Linked DNA regions of Canis lupus familiaris. The protein of the gene in region 1 purifies or fractionates together with the protein of each later gene. This does not show direct contact. Links are inferred from orthologs where the notes say so. Each region holds a gene or a part of one and is shown in the gene's direction. Other genes may lie near its edges.

What was found.
Region 2: the proteins of RAB6B (region 1) and SLC12A4 purify together in Homo sapiens (co-immunoprecipitation; 3 studies listed by BioGRID and IntAct, with this or other methods). This does not show direct contact. The link is inferred for Canis lupus familiaris from reciprocal best matches to the Homo sapiens genes RAB6B and SLC12A4.

Annotation. Positions count from the first base shown.
Region 1 is NC_049244.1:31,246,220-31,249,864, reverse strand, and holds part of RAB6B (ras-related protein Rab-6B), read left to right. Parts: intron 1-3,105; coding exon 3,106-3,159; intron 3,160-3,350; coding exon 3,351-3,456; intron 3,457-3,645. UniProt on the Homo sapiens protein: The small GTPases Rab are key regulators of intracellular membrane trafficking, from the formation of transport vesicles to their fusion with membranes. Rabs cycle between active GTP-bound and inactive GDP-bound states.
Region 2 is NC_049226.1:82,129,302-82,132,946, forward strand, and holds part of SLC12A4 (solute carrier family 12 member 4), read left to right. Parts: intron 1-1,274; coding exon 1,275-1,421; intron 1,422-1,506; coding exon 1,507-1,561; intron 1,562-3,092; coding exon 3,093-3,223; intron 3,224-3,645. UniProt on the Homo sapiens protein: Mediates electroneutral potassium-chloride cotransport when activated by cell swelling. May contribute to cell volume homeostasis in single cells. May be involved in the regulation of basolateral Cl(-) exit in NaCl absorbing epithelia.

The DNA of each region.
Region 1 (3,645 bases):
TTAAATGTTGGATCTCACTTCGTTCTCTTGCCTTCCTTCAAAGCTTGTAACCCCTCCATTTTTCTGTCTGCTTTTGCTCACTCTTCAGTGCTTAAAAATTATTTCTTGTATTTTTCCACAGTTTATAATAGTTATCTGTAGGAGGGTTAGTTCGATAAAAACTACTCAGCCATTATTGGAAACCAATCATAGGAATATATTTTGGGGCAAAGCTGATGGTTCAGCCACTCCCAGGAACAATGCCTGTGCTTTGGCAAAAATGTGTACAGTTATGGGAAGGTCTGCTGTAGCTCAGTGGCCTGGCTTGTTGGAGACAGAGTAGTCAGTTAAGAAACCAGATATTTCTCTGATGTGCAAGAAGCATGAAAGTAGGACTAAAGGTGGGAGACAGCTGGAAAGGGAGGAGGTAGAGAGGAGGTTGGCCCCTTCCAGACTTAGTTCTTCAATACCGATGATGTGGTCAGGCTTTTGCGGGGCGGGGAGGGGGGCAATGGAGATAAAATATGTGGGTGTCCAGTAATGGCAGTTATGATTGCAGAGGCCACTGAGTTGAGCTTTGCCAAGGCTTGATCCAGATGGCACAATTCTTGTCATGTCATCTGGTGACTTCTCAGTCCTCCATGGAAGCAGAAGTGGCTTGTGCCCACATGAGATGCATTGGGGTTGTTATTGTTACACTATCATCAGTAATATCAGCATTGCCATCTGTGCTGCTTACCTTTGAGGGGTATGTTTCTCCAAGGTTCTTTGCTCTATTAGTTAGACTATTGTTAATCTGTGTTAAAAGAAACCCAAAATAACAGTAGCTTAAGCAAAATTGAAATTCCATTCTCTCTCGCACAATAGTCTGGATGTAAGCAGTCTAGGACACTGAGGTGGCTCCCCTAGGTCAGGGACTCAGGCTTCCTCCATCTGGTTGCTCTGTCATCACTACTATATCACCTTCATCTGGATGGGCCAGCATGACTCACCACTACCTGTCTTCATTCCAAGCTGCAGGAAAGGGAAAGAGGGCAGCTGTGAGCATGTCACCTGCCCCCCATCATCCCAGAAGATGCATACATCACCTTTACATCCCACTGACCAGAATTTAGCCATCTCCCTGCAAAGGAAGCTGGGAAATACCATCTTTATGGGGGTAGCCATTGATCCATTTACATATCTAGAATCCTATTACTGTCGAAAGGGAGACTGCATATGGGAGGATAGCCAGCAGTCCCTGCCACCAATCCTGAGGTCACACACCTGGTTTTCAGCTCAGGGGTCACTTTACAGAGGCGCTTGGCACTCCTGGGGCACTGATGAAGGGAGAGATTTCCACGTGGTCTGCACAATTCTCCTTAAGGGTATCTGGAAACAAGGACTGTCACACTTCATTGATGAGTGAACATTGTGTGACTTAAGGAACAAGGCTGGTTCCACAAGCCACCTGTCAATTCCAGACTTGTTCCCCAGTGACTACACCATGTAGGAAAGATGTGCACGCTGGGCTACAAAGAGCCCAAGTGATACCGAACTTGTAGTGTTGACCCTTCCAGCTCTGCCTCTGACTCATGAAGTCACCCCAGACGTGCCCTCTAACTTCCCTGATCTTTCATCTCCAATGTAAGGGCTTGGATGGAGGTTATGTCTAAGGTGTATGTTTTAACACCCGTGTTCTAGGATTGTAAGATTCCTCGACACTCCAGGACTCTGCATTAGGGCAGACTTCCAGGGGGGATACAGTTTAACTCCTTTGTGGAATGATTTGGACGTCTGAATGTACATGAACATGCTTGCAGACAGCCTGGGACCTGCAAACATGGGTTTTTCTATCTCCTTGTGCTTCCCTCCATCGTGGTTTTTGCAATCAGAAGTAACTGCAGTTTCCCATACAACTAAGGTTACTTTTTAATCTTATGTTTTTGTTTTAAAATATTCTATTTCTGCTTCTAGAACTATTACACATTAATTGAAGAAAATGGAGAAAATAGAGGAAATTATAAGGAAGGAAGCAAAAAGAACTGCCCATACTGTCGTCATTCACACTGGTGTTTAGTGTGTTCCTTTCATTTTAGTATCCAAGAAAATATGAAAAATACTTCTCCCTACTTAAGTGCATCCTGTTGGGATTATGCTACACATGATATTTACAACCTGCTCTTTTCTGCCTGATGACCGATTCCTCAGGTCCTTAAATATTTTTTGAGAACATGATTTTAAATGGCTGCTAAGGATTCTAACCACATGGGTGTACCACGCTGTACTTTATCATTTATCAGTGCCCTGGACATCCAGGCTATGTCATCAGGCATTATTATTAACTGCATAGCAGTGACATCTCCATATCACACTGATAGTGTCTTAGTTCCTATCCTAGATGCTGTGGGGCAGGTGAGCCTAGAGAGGTTGGGTGGCCTGTCCAAGGCCACACAGTGAGTGGTGGGTCCCAGCCATCTGGCCACAAGGCTGACTATATCCTGCCCAGTCACCTCTCCCCACTGCCAGAAAAGAGAGGGCACAGGGGTGTGCTGGGGACAGTTGGCTCCTAATATGTTGGTTTGGAAGAAAAGAGTCAGTGTGGTTTCCCAGGGAGATGCTGCTCTGGATGGTTTGTTGTGTCCCTGAGGAAACCCAGCTGCTCTCTTCTGCCCACACAGCAGCAAGCCTTGCTCCTGCTCCCCACTCCACCCCTGCCTGCTGGGGGCAGTGGTGGACCAAGCCTGGGGGCCGGAGTTCCAGGAGCCCAGAGGGGAGGCTGTGAGAGAAAGGAGGCAGGTGAGGTCAAGCAGGCTTGGGCCAGGAGACCACCCAGCTTCTGCTCCTCGAGGCTCCCACCTGAGGAAGGCAGGGGATACACCTATCAGGGTGGGGAAGTCTCCTCGCCTGGTTCTTTTGTCCCCTTCACAGAGCAGTTTTGTCACTCCCGAAAACCTGTCCTCATCCTTACTTAGCCCCAACCCACTTCCTCTGAGAGGCACAACTGGCTTCACTATTGGCAGGGGGAGGCAGGGACAGCAGGGCAGGACTTGCCTTAGGCTCGGCATGGGTGTCTCTTCTTTTGCTGGCTATCACTGCCTGCCTGAGGCATTTCAATTTTAACCTTTCCCTGTTTTTCTCTAATAGGCAACCATTGGGATTGACTTCTTGTCAAAAACCATGTACTTGGAAGATCGTACGGTGAGTACCTGACTTTAGAACTAGAAGGACAGGGAGGGCTCCTTTGGACTTATCAGCTGGGGCCATTAGCTGGGCAGCACTGAGAGAGCCCATGTCTACTGCAGAGCTGGCAGGGCCGGCATCCCAGAGCCAGGGCCTTCCTCCAGCCCCCAGTGAGGATCACACTGACCTCCCTGCCCTCCGTGTGACAGGTACGGCTGCAGCTCTGGGACACAGCCGGCCAGGAGAGGTTCCGCAGCCTGATTCCCAGCTACATCCGGGACTCTACAGTGGCTGTGGTGGTGTACGACATCACAAGTGAGTGTGGGTCCAGGGTGCCAGAGGGAGGGTGGCTCATAGAGGCTCTGGGGCCTGTGTGCATGCTCATGTGTGCACACGTGTATGCTGTGTATGCTTGTCTTCTGACTGCAAGAAGATGGGTCCTTGGTGGTGGGGGGTGAGTTGCCTTTGAATACCAGCATGTTTTCCACCTTCCCCCACCATCCT
Region 2 (3,645 bases), on another chromosome or scaffold:
GTGATAGAAAAGTGAGCAAACTGGGATCCCTGGGTGGCGCAGCGGTTTGGCGCCTGCCTTTGGCCCAGGGCGCGATCCTGGAGACCCAGGATCGAATCCCACGTCTGGCTCCTGGTGCATGGAGCCTGCTTCTCCCTCTGCCTATGTCTCTGCCTCTCTCTATCATAAATAAATAAAAATTAAAAAAAAAAAGAAAGAAAAGTGAGCAAACTAAAAAAAAAAGAAAAAAAAAAAAAAAAGAAACAAAAGTGAGCAAACTGAGTATACCCCAGCACAGTCATGAGGCATTTGAGTGAACAGTTACCATGACCCGTAGTGACCACTATGATGAAAGGGTAGATCACATGTGTTGAGGGAATACAAGAGGAAGTACCAAACTCAACCTAAAGCAACCCAGGAGAACTTCATGGAAGAGGCAACAGTTAAGTCCCCCTGAAGGTTTAACTGAAGCAGAGTTTGCCAGGCAAGGAGACAGGGCTGACCCTTCCAGGCAGAGCCCAGCACATGTCCTGGTTCAGAGGCTGTGAGTAGTCAATGTCATCAGGGGCTGAAGGTGTCAGAGAAGGTGATTGGGTACACCTGGTGGCCCAGATCAGGGAGCCTGGCCCACGCTGTGGATTACAGGATTGAGGACGCAGAGGGTTTTCAACATGGATGATGAGATTGGACTTGGTTTTCAGAGACCTGCTGTGGCAGCAGAGTGGGCTGGAGTGTGGAGAAGTCGACAGGCATGGGGGGGGCACCACCCAGGTGCCACAGGTGTAGTGCCCCAGGGTCAAGGGACTAAGACTGAGGTCAGGCAGGCTGATCTCAGGGCAGCTAAGAAGCAGACCAAGCAGAACTTCATATCCACCTGGACTGGACTTGGGGGTTGGAGAGAGGGGCTCCCAGGAACAACTTCTTGGATTCTGACATGAGTGACATGGGTCCTGCTGGATGAGAAGGTTCTAGAAGTTTAAGAAAAGAGAGGAAGGGAAGAGGGCCATACCTGGAGGGGGAGGTGAGGCCCAAAAGCTCACATGTGGGGTTTTTAAAATAATCTGGTTTTATAACTTTCCAGTCCCAAACTGCCTTCCTATACGGAAGTCAACATAGACATCCTAGCTGTCACCCCACCCACTGTGCTCCCCAGGACTACCCTTGGGATTCCAACCTACTCTCTGGTAGAACACCCTGGGGATAGGAGTCTTCTGAGTGACCAGGGGCTGGCCTTCCATGGCGCATCTGAGCCCCTTTGATATTCTCTGCTCCCCTCCTCCCCTCCTGCTCCGTAGGCACCCAGCATGGGCACCCTCATGGGGGTGTACCTGCCCTGCCTGCAAAACATCTTCGGAGTTATCCTGTTCCTGAGGCTGACCTGGATGGTAGGCACAGCCGGTGTGTTGCAGGCCCTCCTCATTGTTCTCATCTGCTGCTGCTGTGTGAGTATCCTCGCTGGGGTGGGGGCCACAGCCACCCCACAGAGCCCGCCCAGCTGAGCTGCTCACCTAGGCCTCCTTCCCACAGACTCTGCTGACAGCCATCTCCATGAGCGCCATCGCCACCAACGGTGTGGTTCCAGGTGGGTAAGCGCCACCCCAGGCCTGATGGGAGGAAGGGGTCCAGAATCCACCTTGATGTGCCTGGGAACCCTCATTGCCAAGCCATGCCCTCCTTCCCTCCCCAAGTAGTTCTCTAGTGAGGTCTTAATCACTGACTCTGTGATGGTACCAACACTTAGGAGCATCCTTGCTTGACAGAATTTGAGATTACTGTTATGTTTTGTGTTTCGTTTGTTTAGTATAAAAGTAATATTTGTAAAAAGGATGCTGGGGCTGACAAAGAAGATACTGGGACACACGGGGTGGCCCAAACTAAGGAATCTAGATGCTACGGATTACAGGATAGACAATGTAGAGGGCTTTCATTTTCAGCAGGGATGATGGGATTGGACTTAGTTCTCAGAGACCCTGTTTATGTATTTATTCAACCATTTTTTATACTGATGTAGATTTCCGGGTATTTTATTCTTTGGATCATAATCCAGTGCTATCATTATTTATTTTGTTGCTCAAACTATTCCACTTTGGCTGTTTAGCTATTCAGTTTGGCTTCTGTGTCTGGATTTTTTTTTTAAATAACAGCTTTAGTAGTATTAGTATAAAAGTAAGAAGGGGAAAAGATTATGATTACCATAAGAAGGTTTGAAAGTGAAGAAAAATATAGAAAGGAAAATTGGAAGTACCCATAATCACACCTTCTTGAGTTAAAAACAGTATTTGGTTAAACTGGATCAATAAGATATTACCTAATTTATGTGATTATTCTGCTCTTGGATTCTGTTTCTTCACTGTTACAACGTTGTCATGAACAGTTTTGCACACAGATCTCTATGCACTGCCCTTGGCAACTCCCTTAGGAGAGGATCCTAGAGGTAGGATTACAGCATGGAAGGGATTAACTTTTTTAAAGTTTTTGGAGTCCTATCCCCAGATTTTTCACCAGAGACACTTTATTAGGAGCAGACTGAACAAACAACATGGGGTCACTCTTAACCCCTGCACCCCCGCTAGCCCTGTGGCCCAGTGTTGACTCTGTCAGTCTTGTCTATCTAGACTCCAGAGGAAGCACAGTCTCACGTCAGGAGGGTTAGCCATGGTACTCACCTGATGGTCAGCCATGTGCTGGGCCCTGGGGACAAAAAACTGGACAACACAGCCCTTGTCTTGGTCAGGAGGGGTCTGACTAACAGACACAGCCCTTGCGAGGAGTAAGGCCTGTTGAGCTAGGATACACCCAGCTAGAGGCTGTGGGGACCGGCCTGAGTGCAAGGACTTGGTGGGACAGTGGACCACTTGAGCACTGCTATGGATTAGGGTTGCCCTAGCAAAGCAGTCATTTCACTGGCTGTGCTAGGCACTGGAGTCAGATGGCACGGGGGTTCAGCCCCAGCGTGGCCACTTATTAACCGTGCAGGCTTGTGCAAACCTCCCAACCCTCTGCTCATCTGTAAATGGGAAAAACAGTCCCTGTCACCCTGGGTGGTTGTGAGGGGTTGTCATGGGGGGAACCCCCCCTTGAAGAAGAACCAGCCTTGACTTTCTCTTTTGTAGCTGGAGGCTCCTATTTCATGATTTCCCGCTCACTGGGACCAGAATTTGGAGGCGCTGTGGGCCTGTGCTTCTACCTGGGAACAACATTTGCAGCAGCCATGTATATCCTGGGTGCCATTGAGATCCTGCTGGTGAGTTAGGCTAAGCCCTGGCCAATTCTGGTCTTGTCCAAATAGTCCCTTCCCCAAAGGCCAGGGCTGCTCATGCTCCCCTCACCTCTGGCCAGGGTCTAGGGCTTATTATGCAGAAGGCCTTCTCAAGGGAGAAAGGTCTTTGCTCACGCTAGTCTCCCCTTCAACTCCTTGCCAGTTTGGGCCAGGCAGGGAAGCAGCCTGGCTGCCTTCACCTCGACCCTGAGTGTTCCATCCACCTGGGCACCATTTCAGCCATAGCAAGTGGTCTGTGACCTGTTGAAAAGTTAAAACTTCATGATCTTGATCATGCAGAGCCTACCGCCTGGGCTTGTGTAGGCTCTGGCCAAGTCTGTATCCCCCAGGGCTCTATGCCAGGGCCCTTCAGATCAATGTTGTCCTCATCCCTAAAAGGGTGAACC